2 linked regions of the Lonchura striata genome follow. The protein of the gene in region 1 interacts with the protein of each later gene in a pairwise test. Links are inferred from orthologs where the notes say so. Each region holds a gene or a part of one and is shown on either strand. Other genes may lie near its edges.

Region 1 (15,970 bases):
CCCAGGTCACAAGTTTTCACACTTTTATAAGGTTTGGTCCTTTCACATACTGGGGTTAAATGTCCAATTACAGCTTCAGTTAATGAAGTCCCATCCTCTGAAATTGCTCTCCTCAATTCACTGTTTGTACTTTTTGGGCCTGAACCTGCAATGGTGTCCTTGGTTCTCGGGCTGGAAAAGGATTGTTTTGTCTGACTAAACTGTGAAGAGAACTTGCTAACACTTTACATGAAGTTCAGAGTCACACACTAATGCAGTACAGAATCTGGAAAATATGAAAGCTAAAATTTAAGGCATCACTTCAGGTCTCCTCATTCCAAAACAGAGAAAAAAAATTCTTTGCCTGATTTCATTCTATTAAATGAAAACCACAAGAGCCATGTAAATGCTATAAAATATCGGTGTCTTCCCCACCTCTGTTTGGGGTAACATTTGCTGTACTGGCTGTGGTTGGGATGGAGCTAAATTTCATAACAGCAGCCTGACCAATGCTGTGTTTGAATCTGAGCCCAAAGCAGTGCTGGTAGCAGAGCAGTGCTTTAGCTATTGCTGAACAGGGCTTGCACAGCCTCAAGAGAAGGCTGAGGTGGGCAGGACAGCTGCCCCCCAGTGACCCAAGAGATCTTCTGTGTCACTGAGCATCATGCTCAGCAGTCAAACGGGGGGGTGGTGGTGTGTCAGAACAAGCCATTGCTCAGAGGCTGTCTGGCCATTGGCTGTGGGTGGGAGGTGGTGAGTGATGCCTTCGCATCAGTTGTTTGGTTTCTTTTTCTTTTCTCTGTTACTAAACTCTCCTTACCTCAGCACACAAGTTTTGCATGCATTTGCCCCTCTGAATCTCTCCCCCACCCTGCTGGGGGGTTCTCACCTGCCAGCTGGGATTCACCCATCACACTCCTCTAGTATCTCTGGAAAGAAATAATGCCCAAAGCATGGCTTTCTTCTCAACAGCTAATCAATCATTTGGCTACTCTCACTATCACAAGTGAACTCCTCTACTCCACTTCCTTTAAGTTTACAAGAAACCCATAATTTTGCCTACAGGAAAGAACCATGAACCAAGATTCAGACTCATTATCTGGCAAATTCATAGCTTTTCTTTCATTCTGAGACACTTCCTGCATAGCTCACAGGAAATAAGAGATGAGGGTGATTATGTTTCATTATTTTTAAAGCTGTTGGGTCAGCTAATGGCCACACCATCATGTCAGAAATCTGATTTAAAAAAAAAAAAATACAAGGAGTTGTTTTATCTCTAAGGCCCAGTAATGTTGGTGCAAATGTGATATACAGATAGAATAGAAGCAAAGTTTGTAGGGAAAGACAGACCAACTGATCTGAGGAAGCAGAGATGATTCAAGAGGTCTTTGTTATTTTTCCAGGTACAGCAGAGGATCCAACAAAAACACTCATCCTCCAAATCTTCTCTTATAGCAACACCTATAAATTTTTAAAATATGTAATTTTAGTAAATACAATATTACGACAATATTATAATGTGCTCTCGGAGAAAAGGGAGTATTTCCAAAGTTGCTTACATGAAAATTGTGACTTTGGTGGAAATCCTTGAAATTCAAACCCACTGTTTCTGAAAACAGTCCTTTTAAAGGTGTCTATGTGTCTGCACACCCTGAAACTGGAACATCACAATTATACTAAATCTGACTTACTAACCCCCAAGTGAGCCACTATATAGAGTATTCCAGTGTAGAAAACATTTCTTATTTTATTTATGCAAGGCCTAACAGAATTAACTTTCTCACAGTGGACTTCCAAGAATTTCAGTTATAAACAGACAAGTATGTTAATTAAAAGGTCATAATGGGTCATTCTGTTGAACCAGTTTGAAGTCATTAACTTTGAGGTTTTCTCTAAAAATTAAGTAAGGATAAGCCCAGACTGATGTGATCTTCATTCCATAGACCAAAGACTTAATATTCTGCAGCATTTTTGTCTTTAAGGCATCTACAGCAATGTCACTATTGTCGGTACTGGAAGATTCACATGGCAAAGCAAATTAAGCTCTTACAAAACTTACTCAAGTCAAACAGCAAACTCAAGGGAAGAGACAGCAGAAATCAGTGTCAATCAATTCTTAAACTCACTCCATTAGATAGTGGCCTCTCTATTTGTTCAGTTAAATATATTAGTAGCTCTCATCAGAAACTTAAATAAAAACCATGCATCTAGAATCCCCTGTAGTATTTCCTCCATAGCTTAGGGCTAGAAGATAGTAAAGGTTTTGCCAATCAGCCATCTACCCTAAAATGTACATTAACCCAATAACAATTATAATATATTGCATAAATTTAAAACAATTAATTGGAAAAATCATTTAATGTAGAGCTGGAAAGATTTATTGCTGAAGACATAGGCATATTTCACTGTACCAGAAGTTCCTATGCCACCAGGTAGCTGAGACACATTCAGCCATGAAAACAGCTACAGTGGTTTTTTTTTTTCCCAGGAATTATCACTTTGAAGAAATACATTATTTTTTCTTGTGGTTTCCTGATTCTACGTTCTACAATCCATACCTACTTGCGTGTCCACATTAAACTAATTTATCGTGCTAAGGCTGAGAAGATACTGGCATGCAGGCTCCTCAAAAATACTATTTTTCCAGATTCCATTAATTCTGTTTGAGAGCAGAAAGTGTCAAAATGCTTGTCTGCTCAAGCATAACCAGTGACTGAGAGTGTGCTTACTCTGGCTTATAACAAAAACACACTTGAACAAGAGCTGAAGTTTTCAGTAGCTGGTATCTACATGGCATTAGTTCTTCACTTCAGTCTGAAAAGCACTACATTAATGACTTGAATTTAAAACTCTGCTGAAAACTGCTTTTCCCTTTCCTGCCAGGATGATTGATGGATTTTCTGCTTTACAGATGGAGCCCCAGAGGAACATAACTGTGCTGTTTCTTGCCTCTGAACTGGACATTAATCAGAATTTTAGGAAATGTTGCTATTTTGGTGAAAGAAGAATGAATGGTGTGGTAAGGACACTTCTACTTTCTAGTTCTAATTACTTAATTCTTCCCAACAATTCTTCCATATTATAGTTCTGAAACTATTTCATCACCTAGTACCAAGGACATTCTAAGAAGTATCCAAAGTTTCTTTTTCCTGATTTAGAATTCTAGTAGAATTTAATTCCTACGTAACTATGATTTCTTTTGAGGTTCCCAATAGTCTTAGGAAAACCTTTCCCTGTTATCCTTTAAAACAAACCTTTAAAATGAGACATTTAAATCAGAAATTTATCTAACCAAACTCTATAAGTCTGTTTGCTAAAAAGAACAAACTAAAGATCAAAAATGTTGAAACTGGTTTTGCTCTAGTTAGAATGAGTGGTCTTGATCAGAAACATCATGGACACCACTTTAGGAAGTTTCATTACATAATATTAATTCATTACATAATATTAACATATTAAACAAATCTGCAAACAGCTAAGTTTTTACCTGAAAACTTTTTGTTTTCAGTCTTGCAAGTGAATGCCAAGTACTTATTCAGAATTAATAATTTTTTCCCCTCAGTTTAAAATTGGCTGGCCTTTGAGGAAGGCTGAATAACAGAAATCAGAAAACTCACAATACTCTATATTAATCAAAGCAGAAAATCCATTTAATATATACAGAATCCACAAAAAGTCTGTAATATGAATCATATATTAAGAGTTAGGAAAGTATTTCCTGCAACACACACAAAAAAATTGTCTGCAGTATTTCAAATCATCAGATTTAGGAAAAGGTGTCCTATGACAACTACAAGCCAACATATCCTGTACTCCTCAACAGGAATAAATAGATGTGGGCAAACCCTAAGGTTTTATCCAGAACAAGCTCAAAGAAGAAACTTGCTTCTAAATAGGAGTGACCTAAGCCTGTAAGGAGAAAGCCTCCACTTGCTGAACACTTACATGCACCAGAGAGCTTTTTATGTTCTTGTGAATAGAATCACAGCTCAAAAAGCAGTGACATCATGATAAGGTTTTCTAAAGGAACAAGGAAACTGCTTGAACTTCTTGGATGCAGGGGCAGCATCAGCACTGCAAGAAATTCCAGTCTGCAAGGTCAGACTGAGGCAACTGGTACTGCTGTGCCATGAGCACACCAAAGAGAAACTGCAGAAGTGAGACAATGCAGGGGAAGCCAAAGCAGGGTCTGAAATACTGAACATACAGCCAGTAAGCACAGGAGGGTGAACTGCAGCAAAGACCCAAAGCATTGAGGAAAAACAAAGCATAGCAGAAAGCTCTTGCCCTGACATGGACACAAACAGATCAAGGACTTGTGACAGACCCAGACAAGAGTGTATCCAGCTTAGCCACTGACACCCTTATGGTGAGACTGAACCACCTTAGTCCACAGAAATATGAAAGAAATTCCTTTTAGAGAAAAGTGCTGGGACTGCTATGGATCTGACCAATGTCATGGCTTTGTATGGCTCATCCTGGTTATTTCAGCCTTACTTTGATTAAGAACAGGGCCCTGGGACTCTGCCCTCTGCATCAGAACACTTTTGGTTTTTACATCCTCCAAAAAGGCAAACTATGCAAAAACCAAAAACAAAACAACAACAACCCAAACAAAACAAACAAACAAAAACCCCACACCAAAAAAATACCTAAACAAAAAACCCCCAAAAAACAACAACAAAAAACCCCCACCAAAACCATCAGCACCACCACCATACCAACAAAGCAGGGAAAAATCTTACATTAGAAATAAATAGACCCCACTCTATTTTCCCTAGCTAAAGTAAATATTTTGATGTGTGTAAACAGAAACCAAGACTGAAAAAGTAATGTTTTGTTCCAAGTCAGAGCCTCAGTGCAGAGAGATGGCCACATATGTATATCACAGCAATGAGTTCATCCAGTTTTGGGAATCCTGGCAGCCCTCTGGCCAACCTCTCAGTGAGTTTGTCATTCCAGCAGTAAAATATGTCGAACATTGTCTCATCAGAACATCCAACACAGTGATGTATAGAGAGGATGTTTAGTCCTGCCCATGGAAGTACAAACATGCCTGCAGCTCATAATTATTGTTGATCTATGAGTCACAAAAGCACCAACATTTCAGTTGTTTAGCATGAAAATCAGATTTTTGGTCACACACAGAGCTCTCTGGCAGCATCTTATGTAGCAGGGAGTATATCAGATTATTTTGCAGGTTATTTTTCCCCCTCTTGCACTGCATGATCTACAGCAAAGGAATTTATTGGTGGGTTATTTTCAGCCTACAGCAGCCAGAGGATCACATATTAATTTCTAATAAGCTCTGTTTAGGTAAATTACCTCAAGACAATTCTAACTCTTTTTAAGTATCATTATGTCACAACTTACCCTCCAGGACAATTAGTGGTAACTTAAGACAATAGGGTAAACCACAGCTTGATTGGCTGAATGACATCTAGAGTTCACAAGTAAAAAATTACGATTTCTTACAAATTGAGCAGAGGTCACTATTTATAAAACGGCAGGACCCCTCCATTATGTTGTATACTCTTGTCCACGGATAATTACTCTTTTAAATACAAACGACTCACAAGACTTTCACCAATGCTACAGAAATAGAACTGCTACATTTAGATGAATTATCCTTACCCCAAACACATAACTCATGCTTAAAAATTAAAATTGAAATATATGTACATTTATGAACCTTTAATTAATCATACTGTTCACCGTTTTTATTTTCTGCTTTCCTAGAAGCAGCTTCACCTTTTGTTTCTAGGCAGTATCTAATCCCTTTTTTTCACGCATCTCACACATTATAATAAGTTGTGATGTGCACATAATTACTCATTCAAAACAGCTTTGTTAAGAGTTCTTTAACAAAATCTGAGGTTAAATTTTTCCCATATGGGTTTAATCACATCTATCCTGTAACACCCTACTGAGAAAAAGTTAAAGTGAACTTCACCTTATATTTAATGTTGAAACCAGTACAGTATGGAAAATAAAGTTTTTTTTCTTTATATTGTCATGCAGAGCATACCTGTTGTTCATACAATATTTAATAACCAATTATGATTGTGCAACCCAAAGAATAAGTGTGCCACAGCACAAACCAGCTGCTTTATCAGCAATCTGGGTAAGGGTGCAGGAAAGGCAATCCAGGAAAAGCCAGGTGCTAGAAACATGGCGAGATGTGACTCATTCTTTGGCAGCAGCTTCTTTGACTGAATTCCCAGGAATTCCTCTGCATTTCAGAAGTGACAAAAGGAAACAGTCATCGAAGGGCATTCCCAAGTACATGTGGGATTAGCTTCTTACTCAGCACTTACGTAGGTCAAATTTCCCTAAAGTCAGTGGTGTTTTCCTGGGGGAATGCTGGCTTCATCCAAGGCACCAGTAATACCAAATTTTCCATAAAATTAAGTACCATAAAATTAAGTAATGCTTAATTTTAAATAATTTACCATAAAATTAAGTAATGCTTAATTGTAATATACTAACACAATACTACAAAGGTAGCTATATTATAAAGGATTCGATTTGGCTGCTAACGAAATTCCCTGATGCTTGGTCTGAGGATATCACTGCCCTATCTGCAAACATGGGATGGCCAAATTTCCTTGTAGTTTGTGAATTAATTGGCAGGAAAACAAACAATTCTCCAGTACCATGGCTTTTTCATACATTTCTACAAAATATTTTGACAGCCAGCAAAAGCAGTCTTGCTCCAAATTCTTCAGTTAGCTCTGACTGCAACACAATAATGAAAATGTAACATGAAGCCTATGTGGTTTTTTCACTTTTCTTTCTAATGTACATGAAAATGACGGGAAAAGTACAGGTATTTTAAAGCAGGAACTTTCTTCACGGCAAAATCAGCATCTTAAGGATGTAGAATACCACTCTGTACGAGTAAAAACTAAAAAATTATATTCCCTCAACCTCCACACAGATTTTTCATTGTCCTAAATCCTTTGATACTTACAAAATTAGGTGAAATAGCAAATAAGCCAGGGACCTGTACCATAAACAAGTGCTTTACTCTTTTCTGTCACACAGGGGTCTCTGTGCAACAAGCTCCTATAAAAATCAGTTATATTTTTAGAAACAACTAAGCTAACAGACTGTTTTGAATTTATTACTCCCAATTCTTACTAGAATAATTAAGGTGACAAAGTAATGACTTTCCACCTCAAAAAACTTGATTAAATCACAGGATAATTCATTATAAGAGGAACTTCAGGAGGTCTTTATCCATCACCAGGGTGACTGACAGTCTCAACTTTGAAGTTCACCATCTTTTCCTTTCATCATGTTCCCATTCCTGTAAATTCTTCCACACAAATTAGTCTTTGCTCTCTTTTTATCCCGAGACCTGCCAACACAGGAGGCTGCTCTTTATCACATTGTCTAAAGTCTTTTCTTTTTGCTGCCTCCACCAGCAGCATGTGATGATTTCCACTTGCTGTATTTTAGGCACTTAGGCCAGACAAATCTCCCATGATTGTGCTGAACCTTAAGGCTGCACGCACACATGGAGCTCCATGTTGTACACATTATGATACACATGCATGCACATACATACAATAAATACTATTGCAAATCATAACCAAATGTAACCTGGGACTTATTCTTGTACTGGTTTAAGGCTCTTTCCTCCCACTTGGTTCCATCAGAAAGGCGACATGGACATAACTAAACCAATCCAAAAGACGCCTTCTTTCAGTCCAGCTTTCCATAGTCTATGAGTATGTACACCAGTGTTACTCCATGACAGGGATATTCTTGATTAACAAGCTCTGTTCTATGCTGCCAATAAAAAAGTCTTCCGCCACAGGGGCAGCCGGTGGGCAGCAGCTTATTCAGTGTGAAGCAGCTGATTTTGCTCTCATCAACTCATCCTCAGAGTACACGCACTGGTTGGTGATACGGATTTTGACGAATCTGAATTTTGGATTTTGGTGTCTTCGAGGTCTTTGCTAAGGAAAGACTCGTACACCTGGCCAGGTATGCGGCATGCGAGGGGGGACATGCTGCTCTGCCTGGGTCCGGAGCCATCCCCTCGCCAGCGATGCCGGCACAACACCAACAGAGGATTGCCAGAGAGAAGATATTGGCGTTTCTCCTCCTGCTGCCGCCGGGGCCGCTCGGGCAGACGGAGCGGGAGAGCGGAGAGCCCGAGGGTCGCCGCCAGCGGGGAAAGTCCCGCTCCGAGCCGGGAATTCCCGCAGCGGCGCCGGGAGGACGCGGCGCTCCGGGGCTTTCGCTCCGGAGCCAGCGCCGCCCGCCAGCCCCCGGGACCCTCCTGGCCCGCGCCGCCCCCCGGAGCCGCTGCCCGCGTTCCGCTCGCCCGGCCGGGATTCCCCTGCCCTCGGAGCCTCCCGCTCGCCCCCTCCCTCGCCCCCAGGTTTCTCCCCCCGCCCCCGGTGCCGGTTCTCCGGCTCGGCCCTGCCGGGGTTCCCCGGGCAGCGCTGCCCCCGGGGCCGTGTCCCGCTCTGGCCGCGGGGGAAACAGCTCCCTGCCCGCCCGGGGTTCTCCCCGGGGGCGGAGCGCCGCCCGGCCCGGCCCCGGCCGGAGAAAACAGCGGCGGCACGGGCGGGTCCTGCGAGCCCTTAAAGGGAGCGGCCGCCTCCTCCCCCGGCGGGGAAGGCGGAAGAGCGGAGCCGCTGCCTCGGTGCTGCTCCGCTGCGAGGTTTTATGCACCTGTCCGGGCTCCTGCTCGCCCTGGAGAAGGAACAGAAGGGAGCTGCCCCGGCCATGTGCTCGGTAAGCGAGGCCGGCAGCACAGACCCCTTGGTGACCCGCTTCAGGCAGGTGGAGGAGACGCTGGAGAAACTCCACCGGGAAAACAGGAGCTTGAAGAATAAAGTGCCTCGGTACAACGCGCTCTGCACCTTGTACCACGAGTCCGCGCAGCAGCTGAAGCACCTCCAGCTGCAGCTGGCGGCCAAGGAGGCGACGATCCGGGAGCTGCGGGGCAGCCTGGCCCGGCAGCGGCAGCCCGCGGCGCCGGGCGGGGATGCGGCGGCGGGCGCGGAGCCGGCCCGCTCGCTGGTGGAGAGCCTGCTGGAGCAGCTGGAGCAGGCCCGCGAGCAGCTGCGGGACAGCGAGCGGCTCTCGGCGCGGAGAGTGGAGGCGCTGAGCCAGGTAAAGCCGCGGGCGCGCAGGGAGCGGCGCAGCATCAGCGCCGCTTTCCGCGCTGCTCCCTCGGGAGCCGGGCACCGGGGCGGCTGCGGGCGGAGGGTGCGCCCGGAGCGCCCGCTGGGTGCTGCGAGCCAGCGCCGGCAGCGGGACGAGGGTTTGAGCCCCTTCGAGCGATGCCCGCTCCGGCCCCGGGGGCCCGAAACAACCGGCCCGTTTGTGTTCAAAGGGAGCGCCCCCTGCGTTCCCTTCAGAAAGGCAAACCATAAAATCTAAACCAAAAACTCAGCATCTTCATGCAACTGTTTTCAGAAGGAGAAAGAAAAACAGTAAAAAACTCGCTGAATTTATTAGATGCAACGATTTTGTTCTCAAAGATAAGGAGCCGATGCCACGAATTTTTCCGTTAAAGTGTTGTGCTTAAAGTGCTCTTAAAAATGGAATTTGTATTGACAATGAGGTAGCAGATTCATATTCGAAGAAGCAGCTGACAATTCTGGAGAGCTAGATTAGGGAAATCGGTGTCTTTCTTGAAAGAAAAAAACCTGAAAACTGAATCCCTCCAAATCCAGCACAAGTGCTGTTTTGGTTACTGTCATTAAGACTTCCCCAGGTTCAGTCTGAAATTCTCAAAGATTTTTAAAGTATGAAGTAATTTCAAAACTGACAGCAGTACTTAAAACTGAAACAAGCATTTTTGTCATAAGTAATCTCTTGACCTAAAGCTTATACAAAACATTTTCCATATATGACACTCACCTAAAATACATATTAAAAAGTTCATGTTTGGAAATTTGTTATAAGAGATGAGCTCACTGACACTTTGCAGACAGATGACAAACCTATGGTATCTGAACATATTTGAAAGCTGATGCTGAATATCTTTAAAGGGGAAGTTTAGCATTCAGCATGAAGCTAAAGAATGTAAATGCCAGTAATAAGAACAAGTGCTGTTTATCTATATCAGATGTTAATGTTCATGTCTTGAAAGAATAAAATGCTGTGCCCAATCAGAAGGCTGAAATAATTGGCACTAAATAATAACCAAATAAAGAAGATATTTGTGTGAAGCCAGAGGCCAGTGTGCTGGCAAATAGTGTTCCTAGTGATTTACAGCTCTATTAGCAGTCCTAAGAACTGGAATGATAGAGCTGGGATTGCAGCTGTCTCATGTCTGCACTTGCCTCCAGAGACCCTTGATTCTGGAGGAGCAGTGCTGCAGAGGTTTTGATAGCAGCACCTGCTGCTTCTTGAGGGTGTGTAAAAACCAGCTTGTTTGTGTACCAGGTCAGAACCAGTGCCTTTCAGGTGCATGGCACTACAGGTGGTTTGCACCAGTCACCAAGCAAACCCCTTCCTTCTCAGAACACCTGCAGAGATGTTAATGCAGTGTAGATGATCCCACAGAACTTCCAGTAGGACAAGGAGATGCAGAAACAAGATACACAGTTGATTCCTAGGGGAGTGTCAGACCCCCTCATGTACCTGGGAGGCAGCTGTGGCCAAACTAGAGCCACTGCTGCCACATGGATTTTATTTTCTGCTGGTTTGACCTTACCTTACCACTCCCATCCTTTCCTAGGTGGGAAAGTTGCTCTGTCTTGTCCTTGTGACAGTGCCAGGCAGTGAATACACTTCACTGGATTTGATTACTTTACAGTTCCTTTTTTTTCTTTTGAGGAAAATCTCTATTATCTGGTAGTTTAGTGTACAGGACCTGTAAGTATTTTTCAGTCTCCACATTTATTAATCTTAAATTACTTTGTTTCTTGTTTTTCTTACTGCTGTATAGTCATAAAATCTTCCTGAATTTTTGCTGCTTGTTCTCCATTCTACTGATTAGAAAGTGCTTGCATGGCTGCCTGAGCAGGTCTTCATTGATTGATCCAACAATTCCAAGGTCTTGTGATCATACAGAAATGAAATTGATTTAGTCTAGTTTTTAAGTACTTTGCAATGAATACAGGAGCTATAAGGAATTACTGCAATATTGAAGTCTGAGATAGATTTTGGCTTTTGACTTTATTTTGCTCTTAGATAACTTCCCCTCCCCCCTCTGTTTAGGAAGTGCAGAAGTTGAATCAGCAGCTAGAGGAGAAAAATGGAGAGATACAGCAGATGATAAATCAGCCTCCGTATGAAAAGGAGAGAGAAATCTTACGACTGCAGAAGACTTTGGCAGAGAGGGAGAAGGCTCAGGCCACCAGTGATGTTTTGTGCCGTTCACTCACTGATGAAACTCACCAACTTCAACGCAAATTAGCATCCACAGCAGAAATGTGTCAACATCTGGCAAAATGTCTAGAAGAGAAGCAAAGAAAAGAGAAGGGGAATTCAGATGACCAGATACCTACAGAAAGATCTAATCAGGTATTTATACAGCTACTGTGTGTGTCTTTAAAGTCTTATTAGCTTCTATGATGTTAATTAGAATATAATAGTTGTAACTGGGAAATGGCCCTTAAAATAATTTCATGCAGGGTGTTAAGACTGCCATGGCAATGGTAAATAATTCTGCATATCTGAAATTTAGGATGGTAGCAGTTGTTTACCACTTCAACTTTGGCCATCTCATCAACAGAGGCTTTTTTTTGGAGAGGAGAAGAACTTGAGAGGTTTTGTCCAGCCTCAGCAATTCCATGATCACAGTTCTTCCCTCAATACACAGGAGATAGTACCTACCTTATACCACCCCTGCTTCTGTGCAGCACTAGATGGTGCTGTGATTTTGAAGCTGATCTCTCCTGATAACTTGTTTAAGTATCAAAATCACAAAACAAAGTAGAGATATTTTAAAGTAGTATTTATATTAAGAACTCTGTAACATATGGTCTTCTTGGATCAGGATTTGGCTTTGCACACATAGTACAGACCTACAGAAAGTTGGTTAGTGGAATATGAGCCAAGGTGTCTTACCTTTTTTTTTTTTTTTTGCTCTGGGATTCCCCCTGGCCTCCTGAGCGCAGGGCAATGCTTCTCTTCAGGAGACATGTTTTTAAAAAAAAAGCTTCATAATAGCACAGTGTCAGAAATGCTACTGCAGGGCACAAAGAAACACCTGGATTTTGGTGTACTTTGCTAATGGCTGTTGAGGCTTCAGTTAAAGTTCTCAGCATGGGATAAGGGTAGATCATTGTTCTGTTTTTCCAGAAGTCCTGATGGCTGAGAGTCATTAATTAAACATTCATTAAAATTAGGTAACTCATTAAAACGCCATAAGGAAATAACATTAGTAGTGCTGTCTCTAGTAACAGATCAGAGCAGTGAGTAGGGTGCTACAGACAGTTCTCACAAAAATGAATAATTCTGACTTATGCTTTTACTGCTACACGGTGGTAATGCTGTTTTCCACATGACCACTCATCTGTGCTGTTGTGATGAACTCTGTACATACTCATGTCTGCTTTGTCAAACATCCCAAAAGTGTTTCCAACGAAAACTTACATTAAAGTTACTTGTAAGAAATATGGGTTGAGTAGATAGAAGAAAAAAGGATTTTTAAGGGACTTGAAGGATTTGGCATTATCATATCTAAAGTGTAATTGACAGACAGGAAACTTGATTGACTTTGATATATGCAATAAGAAGCTAACCTTGTACAGTGGGGACTTCCCTGTTGAAGAGGAGAAATTTCAGATGCCATTACTAGCTGATTCTAGGGAATTTTGCACAAAAGTGTTCTATATTACTCACGTACACCGGGGTTTTTTTTAAGCAGATGTCACAGCTGTAAAAAAGGTATCATTTTAGTCAATTATTTAGCAAGCAGGGTTTTTTCCCCTCAGTAATTTCTTCCTAGTACTGGCCAAAATTGACAGTAATAACAAAGCAAGATGAAGGCATATCTGTGCCTTTGTCATGTATTGTCCCACTCCAGACAAGTATTGTAAAGAATTTGTGTAGACTCTTAAATGCTGTTGTCATGAGGTCGATTTCATAGCAGTACCAAGGCTGTAAAAACCTAGATGTACGTCATTACATATTATATAAAAAAAGATTACTTGCAGTTAACAGCACAGCCAAACAGCATCTGAGATTTTTATGTTGAAGTAACACCTAACTTTATCTGAAAATTACAGCTTTTAGACAATGAAACTTCACTTCAAGCTCTTATCTGCAACTTACAAGAGGAAAACAGGATGTTAAAACAAAAAGTAGCTCATGTGAGTACTTTCATTTTGTTACAGATTAATATTTGTTAAGTATTTTGTATTAGAGTAAATTTGAAATAGATAAGGTCTGGTTAATCTAATTACATGCCAATTACAAAGCAAGATAGTTTTTCTTAGTCCTTTCAACACAGCACATAGTTTTTGTTCCCTTAGCTGAGAACAACTTACTATATAATTTCTAACATACTGGATTTTTGTTGTTAAAAATGCAGTGCATAAGAAAATTTTCATGGTTCTTCCATGGATCAATATTCCACCCCAGAAGAACAGCACTAGGCCCATTAGACCCTTCCCTTTCCACATTATTTAATATTGTCCCTTTGGACTGGGAGATGGGAAGGCTGCCCATGAAGAGGCTGCACAATCATCTCCTGCTCTCCTGTACAGTGACTTACTCACCTCAGGGGTCGAGTCAGCATGTTACATTATCCCCTAGAGAATTTTGATCCTGCTATTGTAGACAGCCTATGAAAGCTTTGGAAGTTTGTGTCTCCCTGTTCTTCATGCCTCTGCTGGATAAACTTTCAGGTGGAAGATTTAAATGCAAAATGGCAGAAGTACGATGTGAGCAGGGATGAGTACGTGAAGCGACTCCACTTGCAGCTGAAGGAGATGAAGTCACAGCTGGAGCAGCACCACGGAGGAGCTCCAGCACCAAGGAATTCTGACATGATGCACAAGGAGATATTCCGGTTAAACAAACTACTGGAAGAAAAAATGAATGAGTGCATAAAAACCAAGAGAGAACTGGAAGACATGAAGAAGGCTAGTGAAGGAGATAAAGAGCGCATACAAATGCTGGAGCAACAGGTTATTAAGTTTCTTTTTCCTAGAGATGGGAATTCTTAGTTTCTTCCCAGACTACTGAAGTCCATGGGGAAAAAGGAATTTCTTTTTGGACATTTGCCTGTCTGTGCACGTTTGGCTATACAGATACTCAACAACACAGATTTAAAGGAAACTCACTACTTAAAGAACCCCATGCAGTTCTGCTGGCTTTAATACACAATCTGAAAGATCTGTAAAAGAAATACAAACACCTTTGAAATAAATACACATACGATAGGGAAGATAATACTGAGATGCTGGGAATAAGTAAAAAAGGAATCATAGTCTCAGCTTTTCAATCTAACCTGCTAATACTCTAATGTATAAAATATTAACATAATCATTCTCTTTCAGGTCCTGGTTTATAAAGACGATTTCACATCTGAGAGATCAGACAGAGAACGAGCACAGAGTAAAATACAAGAACTTCAGGCAGAAGTTGCATGTCTGCAACACCAGCTAGCAAGAAGACAGGTAAGAAAGCAGCATGCTCCTTCTTTAATTTAAGCATGTCAAAGGATTTGGGACTAAAATATACTATAAAATATATTTTAAAAAATCTTAGTATTTCTAAAACAGTTTCAGCTCAAAACAGTTTCAACAGCTATCAAAAACTTAGATTGTTTCATAGTTAGTTCTGGTGGAGATGCTTCAGAGTTCAGATGTAATACCCCTTTCCTGTCCCTTTTTCTTCTACTTTTGGATCAACATAGACAGGATGAATTCTTAGAAGGCAGAGGACAGCCATGACTCTTGGCATCTTTAAATTACCACACTGGCTGTATTCTATGTTTTCTACAAACCTTCTTTACAACAATATTAATAGCACTGCAAAAACTGATTAATAATTTATTTATTATACTCCTCAGATAAATATTTGAGTGGTGTTTCAGACATGGTGATAAAAATACCACCCATTAAAAAAAAGTATTTTTGTTGCATCTTTTTCAAAAGCTCTTCTTTCTCTTTCTAGGACTCAAGAGACACAAGTAGTCATTTCAGAGTTCACGCTGGTAACCAAAATCATTTGTACGTTCAGACGAATGTCGAACACCTACGAGGCAACAGCCCAGGCCAGACAGGCACGAGAAGAACAAACTCTCAGTCTGAACAAGCTTCTCCTCCTGGGGACAATGGAAACCTGGGATCTGAAGGCAGGGCACAGGGTGAACTCAGATGTCCTCATTGCATGAGGTTTTTCAGTGATGAACACAGTGATGAATTCCTCAAGCACGTTGCTGAATGTTGTCAGTGACCACAGGATGTGAGGGTGTAAGTCAATCACTACTTTTATAGACATAAAACTTGCTCTATACATGTATCTCCTACAGTCCTAAAACAGAGTAATTCAAATGGAGAGCTCTGGGGAATTAGGAGGATGAACAATACCTACCTCTTGCTTGATTTTGCCTTCTCTTCGACTGTGTGAAGGGCTTCAAGAGAAAGCAAAGTGTTTGCCTGAAGAATTATTTTTGACAGCTACAAGGAAGGCAAGTGTAATGGAGATTCTACTACAAACTAAACTGAAACCTACAGTGGTAGTTTAGCTTCAGAGTGCAGCTTGACTTTATCTAATTCTCTACCACAGTCTGATGGCTTGTGAAAAAACTTACTGAACTTGAAATTTTCCTCCTCTTCCAAAAAATGTAGGCTGAAGAACAGGAAGGAATATATTGGCAGAAGATAGGAAAAATCCTATTGTGCTTTATCCGGATTAAAAGCGACAGTATTTTCTTGACTCTTGAGGGTGAACTTTCAGACACCTGATCTGAAAATCCTTCTGTTTAACTGAAATCAGAGGAAGTGAAGAAAACATAAAAGGGCTGGTTATTGACTAAAACTAGCCTGCCATTTTTTGCACA
Region 2 (16,356 bases), on another chromosome or scaffold:
TAATCCAGACCAGCTCCTGGGGAGCAAAGAGGCTCAAGGACAGCCTGGCTGGGTGTCATTAACAGCCAGGCTGCTCCTCACCCCTCCCTGGTCACTGATCCACTTCAGGTTGATCAATCAGATTAGAGAACAGACTTCCAGGCTGGAGCAGATCTATTACAGGTGCCCCAAGCTCTCAGTTCTCCTCCTCAAGGGCTTCTGCTCCCACACTCAGCTGTACACACTGGTAATGGGATCCCTGGGATGCTGCTCATGGAACTGGGTTCATTTTCTGCCTGGATGAGCTCTCCATTCACCACTAGCTCTGCACTCCCAGCCACAGCAGGCCAGCAAACAGCCCTTAAATACTAAAAGTTGTTGATATTTTTAATCCTGTCACCACAGCTTTCCCTTTCCCACAGAAAATCACTGAAGGTTTTTATTAGCTGAGTTGCTCAAACACTGTCTTAACCTGAAGGAAGCCTACAAGAAAGATGGAGAGGGACTTTTTAGAAGAGCACACAGTGACAGGACATGGGGAAATTGCTTCACACTGACAGAGAGGAGGGGTTAGATGGGAGATTAGGAAAAAGAATCTTCCCTGTGAGGACGGTGAGGCCCTGGCACAGGTTTCCCTGAGAAGCTGTGGCTGCCCCTGGAGCCCTAGAAGTGTCCAAGGCCAGGTTGGATGGGGTTTGGAGCAACCTGGGAGAGTGGAAGATGTCTCTGCCCATGGCAACGGGTGGAATGGGATGAGCTTTAATGTCCTTTTTAACCCAAGCCATTCTGTAACAAACAGCTCAAGCCTGCAGTGCACAGAAGGGAACAGAATCCTTCCTTCCACAGCCCCAGTTTCCAATCCCACTTGCTTGTTCTGGAAATCAGCATTTTCCTTTTTAATCACCAATGGGGAAGTTGACATCTTCCCCTAAACCCCAACTCTGCCCCTGTGCATGACTAAGGGCCCTGCCCCCAGGGCAGCCTCAGGGAAACAATCCCTCTTCTGCTGGATCTCTTCCCAAACTTGATGCTCATGTGGCTGCTCAAGGTCTGCTCTGTCACAGCCCAGGACACGCAGCACAAGCAGCAGCACCAGTCAGGAGCTGGGGAAGGGCCTGAACAAAATCATGGATGAATTCCTGCTGCAAGTTCCAGTGAAAACAAATTCCCCCAATTATTGCCAGAATCAGCACAGGGAGAAATGAACTTTGTGAGAGTGTAGAAGCAGATAAAGATAAAAATAACAAAGTCAACCTGTCCTTGAAAAGAAAAAGCACTGAAAACCAACTCTGGACCAGCACTGCTCAGGAAGTCCAGCAAGGAGCATCCTTGGAGAGATCCCATTTCCCAGTGATGGTTTTGGGTTGTCATCACCTGGTACCAACACACGATGTCTCTCTCGGGCTCCTTTTCCCCATGCTGCCTCCTCCCTTCTACCTAATTAAACAGGATCTGTCTATCAATAATTGACTCACAGTCCCCTCACTCTGTCGAGGCCACAGCACAAGCAGAAGTTGTCACAATACTTTATCCTAATGATCTGGTGGCAGAGTGTTTGATCTAATTAATGCACACAATGAAATTAGTCCTTTTCTGGAGTACTGTAATAAGGAGACAGTAGTTAGAAAACACTGTCAAAAATAAAAGGATCCATTGATAACATATGCTACAAAGGATCAGATCCAGGAACTTCCCCAGTGGTTCCAGGCAAAGTGTTCTCAGTGTTGCAGAGTCACACAAAATCCAGTGAAGTCAGGATAAAATTGCCTTGATCAGTATCTGTGTGAATTTGTGTTTGTGTGGAAAGTCTGCCAGGTAGGCAGGATGGTTATTAACAGTGAAATCAATTTAGCTGCAAAAATTTAAGAAAAAGAAACATCCAAAAGGGCCTTTCCAAAAGCAGAACTACAGCAGAGAACAGTGGGAGTTCAAACCTGATCAACAGCCCTGTGCAAAAGGATATATTTTCTGCTTCTCCTCGTTGTACAACACATCTACCAGCTGGATGACATTTTTGTGCCGTAATCTCCGCAGGAGCTGGATCTCCCTGCAGGAATAGACAAGGAAAAAGTTACATTGAAAAAGCTTATTCCCAACTCCATCTCTTCCAAAATTTCACCCAAACTCAGCTTGATTGAATGGCTCAGAGACCTGAACTGAATCTTTTGTTTGTGGGGAATAAATAAGGTAAAACAGTGAGGAGCCACCTTCCCTTGGCTTGGGGAGGAGTCCCTTGAATGTCACCTACTGTCAGCTGTTCTGATTTTTGTCTCCAGGGATTTTGTACTTGCCCCAAACCACGGTTTAGTCTCTTTTGCATTAAACTCATCCTGCAAAATCCCACTGGATGCCAGCTGTGGAGAAACAGGCAGAGCAGGACAGTCAGGTCAGGGTGGTTCTGTTGGTGCCTGGCAGTGCACGTCCTGCTTTTCACTTTGTTCTGCTGCTGCTCCATCCTGGGCTGTGCTGAGCTTCCAAATTCTCCTTGCCAGCTCACTTCCAGAGAGATTTGGCCAGTGCTTTGAGCAGTGTGGTCACACTTCATCAGCTCAGCCACTGGGAAGCAGCATTACAAGGAATTCTGAGCACAGCTTTGGAAGTGAGAGCCCCTGCCCAAAGCCAGCTCAGAGCCCCTCACGGGCACAATTAGCAGCTCCAGTAATGAGCTGGGGCTCGCACAAAGGCTGAGCAACAACCAGGAGCTGCTCCTTGGAAAGAGCTTCTCTGATGCAGGAGTGCAAGGAGAATCCTTACTGATCTTTTACGGATGCCTGAGCAGTATGAATTATTTCACTACCAAAGTTAAGGCCAGAGACTTCTTTCTCAGCTCTGGATTTAGAAGAAGCCACCAAGAGCCGAGCAGAGACCCAAGATACCACAGCAAAACTCCCAAGTATTGTGTGGACATGGCAGACAAGTCTAATTATAGGAATGACCAAAGGGCTGAAGGGGATTAAATTAGCACAAGGAACAGCAGCCACTGTCAGTGTGGAGCTGAGGAGATCGTGCAGCATGAAAGGGCCGAGGGCTCCAACCAGGGCTGCCAGAGGGGAGCAAACCCACTCAAACACAACTGCTTTAAGGCCCAAGTGTTTGGAACACATTTAAAATCCTGATCCCAACAGCTCATTCCCTGTAATACAGCCCGGAAGCACAAACACTAATTCCTCCCACCTTCAACAGACTAATAAATATCTCATATTTCTGTAATGATTTTTCCCCCCCCAGGAGGCCTTTGCAAACCAGTCCAAAACGCCAGGGCCATGCCCCCACCACTGGGGCAGAGGCCAAGCCACCCTTTTCCCAGAGGAAAGATTACTTCTATTTTTAGCTCCTCTCTTGCTCTGGAATGCCTGAGGAGCAGGGACAGCCAGCCCAGTCACCTCCGATCCCATCTCACTTTGCAAACCCCTGGAGTAGGGGAGCACAGGTCTCACCTTCTCAGAACAGGCCTAAATTTGATTTTTTTTTTTCTTTCAAAACTACCAACAAAACTCCACCACAGCTCACTGCAAGTGTGTGACCAGACAGACTGCCAGAGGACAAGACCTGCTTCCAAGTACAACCCACTGGAAGGAGACGAGGGGGGAAAAGACCTAACTCGAGCTCTGTCAGATCCATTAAGCTCATCCTGGTGGATTAAGACTTATCCCCTGCAAGGTACCAGCTCTGGCAAATAACAGGGGGTGTTGCTGCTCAGAACTGTAAATAGCAAAGCTTTCCCCCTTGTTCCATGTGCCACACCACTTTGGAACATGCCAAAGGCAGCCAGGAAAGCAAACTTCCTGGACATCTCCACTGTGAGATCCAGCTTGTTCCGAGCCATTCCTGCCTCAACAAAACCCAGCAACACAGCCAAAAGATTCATTCCCTGCCTTTGGTTCCACAAGGTTCTTCCCACAACATCCTAAAAGCTTTAGAAGTGCAGCACCTCTCCAGGACTGTGTGAGCCCAAAGGCTGGAAGTGCCAGGAAGATTTCGGTGTCACTTTTTCTCTTTCCTAGTCCCAAGGGTCCATCCACATCCTGCTCCTGCAGGGATGTCTGGCATTCCAAGTTCTGTATCCATCACAATCTGTGCTCTTCCTTGGAGTACAGGTCCCAGCATTTCACCCAAGCAAACATCCAGCTGAGCAGAGGAAACCCTTGAGCCACACGGCTCCACGGGGAACATTTCTGAGGAGGAGGGATCAGCCCATTCCCTGAGCTCACACCTCCAGGGCTTCCAGCAAGTCCTTCCCCTGTTTGGAGGTTCCAGCATGGGACTTGCAGACCCCAGGAACAAACTGTCCCAGCACAGCCCCATAACCCAGGTTGACCCTCCGAGGAATTCCCAAGGAGCACAAATTCCAACCAGAGCAATTGCCGAGGTGGTAAGTACAGCACAGGGCACTTGGGATCCCACAGAGCCCCAAACACTTAATTAACGTGTCAGGCTATTAGCACACGGCATTATTAAACCTCTGTTGCTGCTGCAGCCACAGGCTGCCAGGTTTTCCTGCCTCTTTTTGGCAATCCCACTAAACTCCTTTTTTTTGCAGGGATGAGATTCTGCAGTGTCTGCCTGACTGAGCCACCTTCACCTGCTCTAAAGAGAAATGAAGATTCTCCCAACAGATTTAAGGAAACTGTGTCTTAAAAGTTCAAGCCCTCAACATCCTCTCCATGACTTGGAGAGCCCTTCAGGGCTCATTTTTCTGGGGCAGAAGTGGAGTATTTTGGGGTAGAGAAAAAGCATTTGATTTGATGTAAGTCCCAAACACATTTAAGTTGTAATTTCTGGGTCTCCAGAACACCAGGAGAGAGGGCTGGGGCAGAGATGAGGCTGTGGCCTGGGATATCAACAAGGAGTGACCTAAGGTTGGCATTATCATCCTATTTCCAGCCAAACATCTCCAGCTCAGACCTGTATGAGCCTCCACAGCTCATTACTGCACTCTCATTCCTCCCTGTGTGTTACTGCTTGTGGAATTACCCAGGGGCCACTGTCTAGGAACTGTATTCCACGGAATTCCTTGGATTACATGCTATCAGCACAGCTGAAGCAGCACTGAGGTGCCCTGTGAGGGGGCAGAGGCAGGAGCCCACCACAGTAACTCAATCACCTCTGCCCAACAACCCAAGCCTCATGTGCAGCTTTTCCCTGTGGTAGGAAACGCTGGAAACCACTTCAGTGATCAGATTCCAAAAGCGAAAGCAGAACCCACAAACTGATCCAGCCCACAAACTGATTTCCTGCTGTCCTGTGCACAGGAGCAGTTTTTGGGCATAAACTCCTCAAAGCTGCTCCAACACAGTGATCTGGCCATGTTGACATTAAAATACTGTGTCAGTGTCCTGTCCAGCACTACCTGGAGACTCCACAGCACCCTGTTCCTCCCACATTGACAACTCAGACACACGGGTTTGGTCACAGATCTCATACCCAGAGCAGACATAGGGTGCACTCCCTCTCACAGCAGTGCTGATCAGCTCAGAGTGCCAGGGGGACCAGGGAACCACAAAGTACAACAGTTTGCCTTAAAATTCCCCACTGAAGCAGCAGATAAAGCACACGGATAGGTGGGCAGAAGGAAAAGGATGAGGGAACAGAAATAAGAACTTGAACTAAAGTAAACCCCTGGGTACAAGGCAAGACCTAAAATCTGCCTTGGTGTTTTGGAGCAGGTGGGGCTGAGCCAGGAAACATCCACAGAAAGCCCCTTTTAATAACTCCCTTAATGGCCCATCTGATACTCACAGCCCCATTCTGGGCGTGAATAAAACCTCCAGGAGTTCACGTCAGGACACTGGAGCATTCCCATGGCTCTGAGAGCAGGGAACTCTCCTGATGTGGGCAAGCTCTTTTACCTAATTTACATTGAAAGCTTCCCTAAGGAGGAAACTATCTGCACGTTCCCCAGTGGCAGCTCTGGATGTGCCCGTGGAGGGACCCAGGGACGGGGCTCTCAGCCTCCACCAGAAAAACAAGAAACATTTTATTACACATTAACCAAGTTTGCTTGCTCCTGAACCTGAGCCAGGAAAGGAGAGACAGGGAGGTCCCAGCCTTGGGATGTGACTGTTCCACAGCCAAGGCTGTCAAAAAAGGTTGGAAGGCAAAGTGAGAGAGCACCCTGACAGCAGTCCCGGGACAGGATGTGAAATATCCCACGGCTAAACTGGGAAATCAAACTGAGGGACAGACACAGGACTCTGCAGGTCAGGGCTCACCCGCAGCAGAGCACCAGGAGAGTTTCCTCGACCTCTCGGAGCTCTCCCTCCCAGCCTAGATAAACCCTCATGGGTTGTTTGGGCTGCAGAGGCTCCTGCACAGCTGATAAGCAGCTCCTGGCAGGGCTGGGACGCAGCTGCTGCGAGGTCCAGGGAAGGGAAAGTTCCCACACCAGCCCCACGGATGCAGCCCCACATCTGGCTTCTCCTGGGGTTCACTTCCATGAGGGTTTTGTGCCCTGAGTAACCAGGTGTGGTGGAGGCACAGAGAGCTGACAACCCTTGGCCCCATTTTACAGCCACAGAAATCAGCTGGGGAGAGCCTTGAGTAAACTCCCAAGGATCTTAGAAATGAAGCCAAGGAAAAAACCCAAAACTTCCTGTGCCCATGGGGTGCCCCATATATTGGATCCTGTTCCAGCCACCTTCCACATGGGTGGGAGGAGGAATTGCCACCACAGAGATCTCCAGGGCCTTTGGAACACACCTGGGCAGATACAGGAATAACCCTGTGAGGACACCAAGTGTGTTTGTAAGGTCTCACCTTGCCCAGGTGCAGCTGGCTGGGAAAGGTGAGAGGACACAGAGGAATTGCTTTAAGAATCAATATTTTATCCATTAAATGACACCAAAGTGGTGTATTCCAGACTGTCCCAGACCTTGGGAACCTGTCCCTTCCCTGTGCCCAGCCTTACCCAGAGCATTGGCTGCTGTTCAGAGGGAAGAGATCCCTAAATACCTGTGGATTAGGAAGCATTTCCACAGCAGAGCCATGCTGTCAGCTAAAACAACACAGGAGCTCAGCTGGTAAGCAAGGACCAAGTTCACCCCCTCGGCTCCCAGAACTCTTTACTCACTTTTTCACGTTGGCCTCCCCATTGGGGATCCGGCGCAGCTTCTTCTTCTTCAGGATCTTCACAGCTCTCCTGCACAGGGTCTCTGAGTCCAGCATCTCCTTGACTTTGCCATAGGAGCCCTCTCCCAGCAGGTCTCCCATGAGGTACTTGCCGATGAGCTTGGCCCGTTTGCGCCGGGGCTGGTAAATGACCTCGGTGGAGTCGATGCGGTGGATGAACGTGTCCATCCCCACCGACATCAGCTCGCTCTCAGCAAACATTCCCAGCTGCTGGGGCTCCTGCAGATCCATCCTGGATTAAGTTCCTTAACCTGTTTTTTTCCTTAAGCGCTCAGGGCTTTAATCCTGTTTGTTAAGTTTCCAACACTCCCTTTTTACTCCTTCTCGGGAAAAAAATATCCAGAAGATTGTACAAACATGAATAATAATTAAAAAAAAAACAAACAACCAACCAAAAAAAAGAAGGCAAAAAAAAAAAACAACCAAACCTAAGAGCTGCTTCCAGGTCAGTTGGATGCCAAAAGATCCCGGCCTGGCTCCAGAACGTCTTTGAAAAAGAACATAAATCTGTGACGGGACACACTCAGTTTGGGACTCACGTTGCTTCCGACCCGGTCCCGCTGCCGGGGGCTCTTCCCAGTCAACTGGCCTTGACTGGGCCCAGTTTGATCCTAAAGAGTTAGGTCATCTCCAGGCCGTCAGGCCACCCCGTGGAACCAGAGCAGCTCCCAGTCCCTCTCGTGACTTTCCATCCCTAGGAGCTCATGATTCCCAGCTGGGGTGGGCAGGTGTGCTCCCACGGCCCGGGCGGGGTGCGGGGGGTTCAGCCGTTGGGGAGCTGGAACCAAGTTTCCTCGAAGGAGTTTTCCGAAACAATTCTTGCGTCTTCGCTGTCGCCTACAAAAGTTTGAGGCCTTCGGTGCCTACCGAGAGCTCCCGGGGGCATCCTTCATCCACCGGGATTCCGCCTGGCACATGATGTGTCACCGCCTCTGCTCCGGGTGTCAGCGGTGCAGGACGACACAACCCAGCCCGGCCCCGCCGACCCCGGGGGGGGTCAGGGGGACCCTCTGCCCCAACTCCCGGTTCCTCCCGGGGGCACCGGCCGCCCGGTGACCGGCCGCTCACGGACGGGGCTCAGGGATGCCCACCCGGCCCGGACGGTCCCTCCCGCACTTCCCACAGGTGTCACCGCGGCTGGCAGGGCACGGCGGGGGAGCAGAGAGGGGGGACAGGGGACGGGGCACTTTTCAGCGCCACAAAATCAGCGCCGGGACGGGGCGGACTCCCGGGGGAGGGTCGGTGACCTCCGGGCCCTTCCCAGCCCGGGCCGGGTCCTTCCCCGCAGGCAGCTCCGGCCGCTCCCGCCGGTCCAAACGGTGAACTAGGGGAGGGGGGCTGAGGGCCGAGTCCCCCCTCCCCGTCGCCAGGCGGGGGAGCCGGGCCGGGCCCCGGCGCCGCGCTCCGCCCCGCCGAGCCGCCGCCTCCCGTGTCCCCCACCAAGTTCAGGGGCCGCCCGTCAGCCGCTGCCCCCTGGCGCTGCCGCGGTCCCGTTCCCCGTCCCGGCCGCGCTGCCCCGTTACCGCCCGCCCCGCCGCGCGCGCGCCGCCGCCGCCGCCGCCGCCATCTTGTCCCCGCCCGCCCCCGCCGTTCCGTCCCCCCCCCCCCGCCCCGCTCCGCGCCTCGCGCCGCCCCGGCGCGCGCCCCCATTGGCCACGCTGTCGGCCCCGTCCCCGAGCGCTCGAGCGCTGATTGGTTGCGGCCGCACCACGTCGGGTTCCGGTTGGTTCGTTACAAGCAACCCTCCCACCCACTCCGGCCGGCGGCGGGGCGATATGATAGGTTAACCGGGCTGTCAGTCACTATTAGAGGCGGGGATTCACGTGAACTTCATATGTGATAGGCCATTGGAAATATCCGTCGCGACCGAGGGCGGGGCTTGCGTCCTGCGGCGCGATATGATAGGCTGCGAGCGCTGTCAATCACCGCTCGGAGGCGGGGCGGTGGGACGTGAAGGGTGGAGGGCAAAGGGCAGGCGGGAGTCATGGAGACGGGACCGGGCACGGAGCCGGCCCTGCCCCGGCGGGGACCGGCCTTGCCCCGGCGGGCTCCGGCCTTGCCCCGGCGGGGACCGGCCTTGCCCCGGCGGGGACCGGCTCTGCCCCGGCGGGGACCGGCCTTGCCCCGGCGGGCTCCGGCCTTGCCCCGGCGGGGACCGGCCTTGCCCCGGCGGGCTCCGGCCTTGCCCCGGCGGGCACCGGCTCTGCCCCGGCGGGCACCGGCCCTGCCCCGCCGCCCTCGCGGTCCGCCTGCCGCGCCCGGGTCGCTCCGCTGCCGCTTCGGGTTTGGGGTGGCCCCGCTCCCCCCCGGTGTCCGCTCGGTGCCGGCTGCACCTCGTCCCCTCCTGCCCAGCTGTGCTCAAGTCCAGCCAAGCAGCTGCGAGGGCATCCCCAAAATAACGGCGCCCGGCTCCAGCGCCCCGGGCAGACCCCGGCACGGCCCGGGGGAATGGGCTTCTCCCGGGGCCGCCACCCCTTCACGGCCCCGGCCGCCGCAGAGACGCTTCTCCTGCGGGCACCCTCCGGGGGCTCGGAAGGATCGGGCTGCACAACGCTGCTCCCCCCGCAGCGGCGTTCAGGGGTCTCCTCCCGGTTTCACCGGATACCGGAGTCCCCTGTCCTGCTCGGGGAGTTGCGGTAGGACAGCTCCGGCCTCTGCCGTGCCTGCTCCCGCCGGGAACGTCGGTAACCGGTGCCGGTAGATGGGGTTTGTGCAGTGCCAGCTCAGAGGAACCGCGATGCCCCTGCGGCCGCCTCCTGCCCCGCTGTGAAACCCTTTGGCGAAAGGGATTCAGCTGGGATTGCAATGGGGAGCACCAGCTCCCAGAGCTGACCAGTTAATTTGAGGCAGGGCAGGACAAATCCCTGAATTCTTCCTTTCCATGAGAGCCATTAGCTCTGCATGAATTCCAAAGCACAGGTGGGAGAGCCCTGAGCCCGTTTTGGGGGGGCCTGGGCAGGATCAGGGCCCCCTGGGTCCCCAAAGGGTCAAAGCACTGCGACGCTCCAGTTTGTTCAAGGAATTTGGTTTGTTCAAGGAATTTGAGCCTGTGAAGGTTCGGGAGGAGGTTCCAAGGGCTCCGAAGAGGGAGTGTAGAGGAGGGGGCTGCTCTGCCGAGCTCTCCAATCCCGCTAGCACCGCCTTTCCCTCCTCCCTCAACGGCTTCTGTCACCACAGCCCCTGGCCCTGGGTGATTTATTTACTCCAGGCTTGGCGCCGAGTCCAAAGTTCTGGAACCCATCCCCGAAATTCTGGTAAGTGCTGTGCATCCCCTTCCCGAGGTGTTCCCAGCAGTGGGAGGGCAGAATCGGCTGGAGGAGCTCCTGGCACTCCACACGCTGCTCCCTGCCCATCCCACTGCCTGTTCTGCTCCCTCTCCCACCAGGGTGACAGAACGATCCCCCTCCAAAGGCAAAATCCTGCTCGACTCTGCAGGAATGGGTCACTGGAGCAGGGCAAGCCAAGAACTCACATGGGGTGTCCCCAGGTACCCCCAAACCCCTCAGCCTGTCCCACATTGGGGCTGTGGATGCATCAGGCAAAGCCAGAGGCTCTTGGGTTTTCCCAAATATTTGCACCAGCATCCAGTGAGGACGTCACAAGCTAGGGGAACTGGCTGACACCTGCCAAGCTTGTGGCACATGGGGCACTGCAGGAGCTGTCCCCTCACCCTCCACAGCCCAACAACCCGGCCAAGGGGGCACAGAAGGGTTTATTCAGACATGGAATGGTTTTGTGGGACCCTGGCACCCCAGCACGGTTCCTGCCAGGTCCCATCCATGCCCCCTGCACAGCGCCAGCCCCGCACTGCCAGGACCCTGCACAGGGCAGGGTCTGTCCCCTGGCTGCCTCTTCCCACAGCTCTGGGGGCACAGGGCCAGCTGGCAGCATGGCTCCACAGCCCTCACCCCACGGAAAGTCAGGGGATTTCCAGGCTCTGGGAAGAAACAGGAAGTGGCAGTGGGTGACAGCAGCCCGGCACACCCCAATGTGGAGCTGCTCTGCAGCTGAGCCCATGGGATCAGCGCCCAAAAACGCCCATCTTTGTCCCCATTTCCTGAGACTGGGTGTCTGACAGGGACCAGCTGCCTGGGAAGGGCTGTTCCTGGAGAAGCCAGGCTTTTTTCCAGGGACATTGCTCCTGTAAAGGGGCAAACAGACCAGGACACAACTCAGCCATGTCCCCACATCTTCCACCAGGGCAGGCACAGGACAGCCTCAGTGCTCCCAGCTCAGCATCACTTCTGCTTCATTGCCTGTCTTGGGGTTTCTGTGTGAATTGGGGTCTCGGCTGTGGTGGGAGGAGAAAGAGATCCTGGTAAGGGAAGTCCTGATTTGGTGGTTCTAGGAGGAGGCTGATTTGGTGCTGGATACATCCCTGTGTGTTCTCCCACTGTGCGTATTTATTTGTATTTGTGGAACACCAAATAAAGAGCTGGGGGGGAGGATTTAGAAGAAAGATCCCTGTAAGAAGGATGTTGGAAAATGTGGCAGGATTGCCTTGATTAATCACTATATGCAAATGAATAAAGAATGGGAGAAGCGGACCGGCACAGAACTTCCTGGTTCCCCCTTTGCCTCTGGCACACACCCAGCATTCCCAAGGACCCGGTGTTAATGTGGTTCCCATCTGCCAGTACTTCCTATCCTGGGGATAAATCAGTTCCCTCTGGCTGCTCCTGTGCTGGTGTAAAAACAGACCCATCCAGGAGGCTTCTGTGTGACCCCTCAGGATTTTGTTCCTACCTTGGGACTCCAAAGGTGGCATGAATTCAATGCAAGCAATGGGAAATTAAAAATATTAAAAGGCCCAGTGTGGGGAAAACGGGTGAGGAGCCTGGGATGGTCAGAGCAGGTAGTTCTCCAGCCCTGTGATTCATTTAATTCCTTCTGCCCCGGAGGCTCCCTCTGCCCCGTGGGTTCCTTCTGCCCCGAGCCTTTGCCGGTCTCCGGAGGCACGGGCCTCGCTGTCTGTTCATCACTCAGGGCCACCCTGGCCCGGTTCTCCCGTTCCCGCTGCCCCCGGGCCCGGTTCTCCCGTTCCCTGCTGCCCAGTCCCAATTCTCCCGTTCCCACTCCCCCGCTCCCGGTTCTCCCGTTCCCCACTGCCCCCGGGCCCATTTTCCCGTTCCCTGCTACCCAACTCCCCGTTCTTCCGTTCCCCGCTGCCCACTCCCGATTCTCCTGTTCCTACTCCCCCATTCCCGGTTCTCCCATTCCCGTTCCCCACTGCCCCGGGCCCGGTTCTCCCGTTCCCCACCCCCCTGGGCCCGGTTCTCCCATTCCCGCTGCCCACTCCGGTTCTCTCGTCCCCACTCCCCCGTTCCCGGTTCCCCCATCCCCACTCCCCCGCTCCCGGTTCTCCCGTCCCCACTGCCCGCTCCCGGTTCTCCCGTTCCCCACTGCCCCGGGCCCGGTTCTCCCGTTTCCCCACTCCCCCGTTCCCGGTTCTCCCGTTGCCCACTCCCCCGCTCCCGGTTCCCCCTTCCCCACTCCCCCGTTCCCGGTTCTCCCGTTCCCCGCTGTCCGTTCCCGGTTCCCCCGTTCCCGGTTCCCCCATCCCCACTCCCCCGTTCCCGGTTCTCCCGTTCCCCGCTGTCCGTTCCCGGTTCTCCCATTCCCCACTGCCCCGGGGTTCCCCACTGCCCCGTTCCCGGTTCCCCCGCTCCCGGTTCCCCCGCTCCCGGTACCCCATCCCCGCTCCCCCGCTCCCTGTTCCCCCATCCCCGCTCCCCCGCTCCCGGTACCCCATCCCCACTCCCCCGCTCCCGGTTCTCCTGTTCCCCGCTCCCCCGCTCCCGGTTCCCCCGCTCCCCCGCTCCCGGTACCCCGTCCCCACTCCCCCGCTCCCGGTACCCCATTCCCACTCCCCCGCTCCCGGTACCCCATCCCGGTTCCCCCGCTCCCGGTACCCCATCCCCGCTCCCCCGCTCCCGGTTCCCCCATCCCCACTCCCCCGCTCCCGGTTCTCCTGTTCCCCACTCCCCCGCTCCCGGTTCCCCCATCCCCGCTCCCCCGCTCCCGGTATCGCATCCCCGCTCCCCCGCTCCCGGTTCTCCTGTTCCCCACTCCCCCGCTCCCGGTTCTCCCCGGCTCCCGCTCGGTCGCCGCCTCCCTTTCCCCGGAAGCTCCGCGGCCCTCCCAGCATGGCGGACCCGGAAGCGGCGCCCGGCGGCGGCGGCCGGGCGGGAGCCTGAGCCGCGGAGCGCCCGGGACCCCGGCAGCCCGCCACCCCCGGACACAGGTAAGGGCCGCCCGCTCGCTGCCCCCGGGGCCCGCGCCTTCCCGCCGCCGGCCCGGTCTCTCCGCGGGCGGGGGCCGGGCTGGGGGGGTTCGCTGGGGACGTGGCCCCCGGCCGGGCCCGTCCCGGGTCCGTCGGTCGGTGCCGCGGGGAGTCCGGGGGCTGCGGGGCTCGGGCCGGGCCCGGAGCAGCCTGTGGGGACGGCGGGGCCGGCCCCGCTGCCGCCAGCCGTGTCCCCCACGCGTGTCCGTGCCGCGTGTGGAGCGGGGCCCGGGGCTGTGCCGGCACCGGAGAGAGCCGGAGGTGCTGCGGAGCCTCTGGAGCTGCGATCGCAGCAAAGCCCGGACCCCTCCAGCCCTGTCCGGATGGGGAATTGTCCCGGTACAGCCCGGGTGGCCACAGCCACGGAACCCTCGTGTTTCTGACTCCCTCTTCAGCTGCTTTTCCACGGAGCGCTGTGAAAACTGCACAGCGATCACAGAATCCTGGAGTGGTCTGGGTTGGAAGGACCTCAAAGCTCGTTCAGTTCCACCCCCTGCCATGGTCAGGGACACTTTCCACTATGCCAGGGTGCTCCAAGCCTGGCCTTGGGTTCCAGGGTTCCAACTTCCAGGGATGGGGCAGCCACAGCTTCTGTGAGCAATCAGAGCCTCAGCATCCTCCTCACAGGGAAGGATTTCCTAATATCCGATCCAAACTTCCTCTGTGTCAGTGTGGAGCCATGAATCCATCATGCACCGAGGTTCTGCTGTGGTGCAGCCCGTACTGGCCCTATTCAGAGTCTCTGCATTCTGGAACCAGTGATGTCAGACCATTAACTGGGCTGATACCAGAGGCTTCACCTTATTAAATACTAGTGCCAGGTCTAAAACTCCTCAGAGTAACCATAAATTCCAGTGTAAAGACTGTGGCTCCCCCTTAGCAGGCTTGATTTACAGTGGAAATGAGATGGGCAGGTCCTGCAGGTTCAGCACTGGCAACCCAAAGCTGGGATCCCAACCCCTGGAGGGTTTTCTGGTCCGTGCACTGGCCCTGGGGTGAGTCTGGAGGGCAGGAGGGTGTTGGCTGTGGTCGGCTGCGCCTCGCTGGGGCTGTTCCTGCTGCACATCATCCTCGTGTCATCCAAGAGTTGAGCTCGTCCTGAGCCGTACGGGAATGGCTGAACCAAGAGCAGCTGGTGGTGGGAATGTTCAAGTGGAAAATGGTGTGCTAATACTGATGCTGTGGGGTTGGGAGTGCTGTGTGTCCCATGCAGGTTTTGCAGAGCTCCATAAGCTGCCAGCTGGAGCTTTTGGAAGCCTGAGCTCTGCTATCTCTGCCAAAAGCTCTTTACTTGATGAGGGTCTGTTTTTTGGATGTTTGCACCCTCATTTTCCTAAAATAAGCCTGTACCCGTCTCATTCGAATGTTGCTGGGAGGTTTCTGCACAGGAGCAAACTGCGCTGGGACTTGTCACCATGAGAGTCTGGATCCTTCAGGAAAGCCTTCCAGGCCTAATTGGGAGGTTTATACTCTCCTGAAACACTTTTCTGCTTAAAACTTAAAACTCTGATGTCTTTTTTGGTTACACAATCGAGGTCTGCACAAGTGTGGGTGTGATCAAAGTGAACACATGCCTCTCACGGAGCAGGTGCACGTTGAATCTGCCTTAAGGCTGCCCTAATCCGTAGGGAAGTTGGCTTTGATGTCCTGAAGTGGTTTTTCTACCACGAGTGGCTGTGTGTGAAACAGAACGTTGGGACCTGCTCAGGTCCAGAGGGTTTCTCCCAAGTGTCTCTTGGGAGAGAAACTGGGGAAAAAGTGTAAGGAATCTGGGACCTGCATTTTCTTGGCTTCTGACCTTGCTTAGCCAAGTTTTTTGTGGAAGAGGAGCAGCCCCAGTGCTCCGAGAGCCCTGCTCAGGCTCTGCCTTGTGCTGGGGAGTGCCCAAAGCCCTGGTTTTGGGAATATTCCATGGACCCGGTGTCTGAGCCACTGCTTCAGCCCTAGCTCTGCCTTGCAGGGATGTGTTTGTGGTTTGGGAATGTTGGTGCTGGATGTGTGAGGGTGATGCTGGATGGATTTACACAGGAATGTGCCGAGTTCCTTGGCAGAGCGTGGGTGGTGTCTGGGAGGCATTTTTGCCCTGTCTAGAAATAGTTCTATGTGTTCTCCCAGGTGGAAAAGCAGGGATAGGTGGAATTTATCTCTGGGGGGCAGTTAATATTTTCTCCTAAAGGGTACTTTTCCCTCCAAAAAACTGTATTTGATTGTTTTTTCCTGTATGGTCTGAGTGTCAGACAAAGAGCAACAAGTACTGCTCGAAGCATCAAGCTCTTCCCTGTAGAAACTGCTGTCCTTGGAGGGCAGGTTTGTTCTTTTGCCTGCACTGCCACGGCGCTTGCAAGAATCTCTGGAATGATCCAGATTTTTCTTCCCTTTCCTTACAGACTAATTCCCTCAGTTAATTGGTGGCACGGATTGTTCCACGCTGCAGCTCCCTGTTGACTTGTGGTGCCCAGGCGATGCCGGGATTTGCCCTGGAGCCTGGCAGTGCTGTGCCCAGCTCCAGGGCTGCAATCCTTGTGTCCCAGGAGCCTTTTCCATGCTCAAAGCATTCAGAAGATCAGGGTGGCTCCAAGTGCTGGCTTAGGATGCCCTGAAATGATTCCATTTTTGTCACCCATAATACGCGTTTTCCGCTCTGGTGTTCTCCTTTGTGTTGGTGACGGGACTGAGTCCTATTCCCATCTACTTGTTTGGTCTGAACTTCCCAAAAATACATCAAGGAGAAGCATGAAAGAGGAACTTGAAGGTGCCTGGGTGCTTGAGAAGTAAAACTGGCTGTTCAGAGTTCCGTAGGGTTGACTTCCCATTTCTTTGGGGCAGTTACATCCAGACTGTATCCCGCAGAATTCCCTCCGGCTGCAGCTTTGGTGGGTGCTCATGAGTGAGTGGAGCAAGGTGGGGACATTTTGGGGCTCCACCTCTGCTCTGTAGGGGTGGGCAGAGTGAGGGGAGCTGAACCC

Evidence for each region.
Region 2: the proteins of TNIP2 (region 1) and STK11 interact in binary tests that used the Homo sapiens proteins (3 or more experiments, as listed by UniProt). The link is inferred for Lonchura striata from reciprocal best matches to the Homo sapiens genes TNIP2 and STK11.

Annotation. Positions count from the first base shown.
Region 1 is NC_134606.1:9,218,117-9,234,086, reverse strand, and holds the start of TNIP2 (TNFAIP3-interacting protein 2), read left to right. Parts: upstream 1-8,664; coding exon 8,665-9,114; intron 9,115-11,172; coding exon 11,173-11,478; intron 11,479-13,187; coding exon 13,188-13,271; intron 13,272-13,808; coding exon 13,809-14,090; intron 14,091-14,462; coding exon 14,463-14,582; intron 14,583-15,081; coding exon 15,082-15,363; 3' UTR 15,364-15,970. UniProt on the Homo sapiens protein: Inhibits NF-kappa-B activation by blocking the interaction of RIPK1 with its downstream effector NEMO/IKBKG.
Region 2 is NC_134630.1:6,447,739-6,464,094, forward strand, and holds the start of STK11 (serine/threonine-protein kinase STK11), read right to left. Parts: upstream 8,257-16,356; 5' UTR 7,339-8,256; coding exon 7,049-7,338; intron 2,027-7,048; coding exon 1,943-2,026; intron 1-1,942. UniProt on the Homo sapiens protein: Tumor suppressor serine/threonine-protein kinase that controls the activity of AMP-activated protein kinase (AMPK) family members, thereby playing a role in various processes such as cell metabolism, cell polarity, apoptosis and DNA damage response.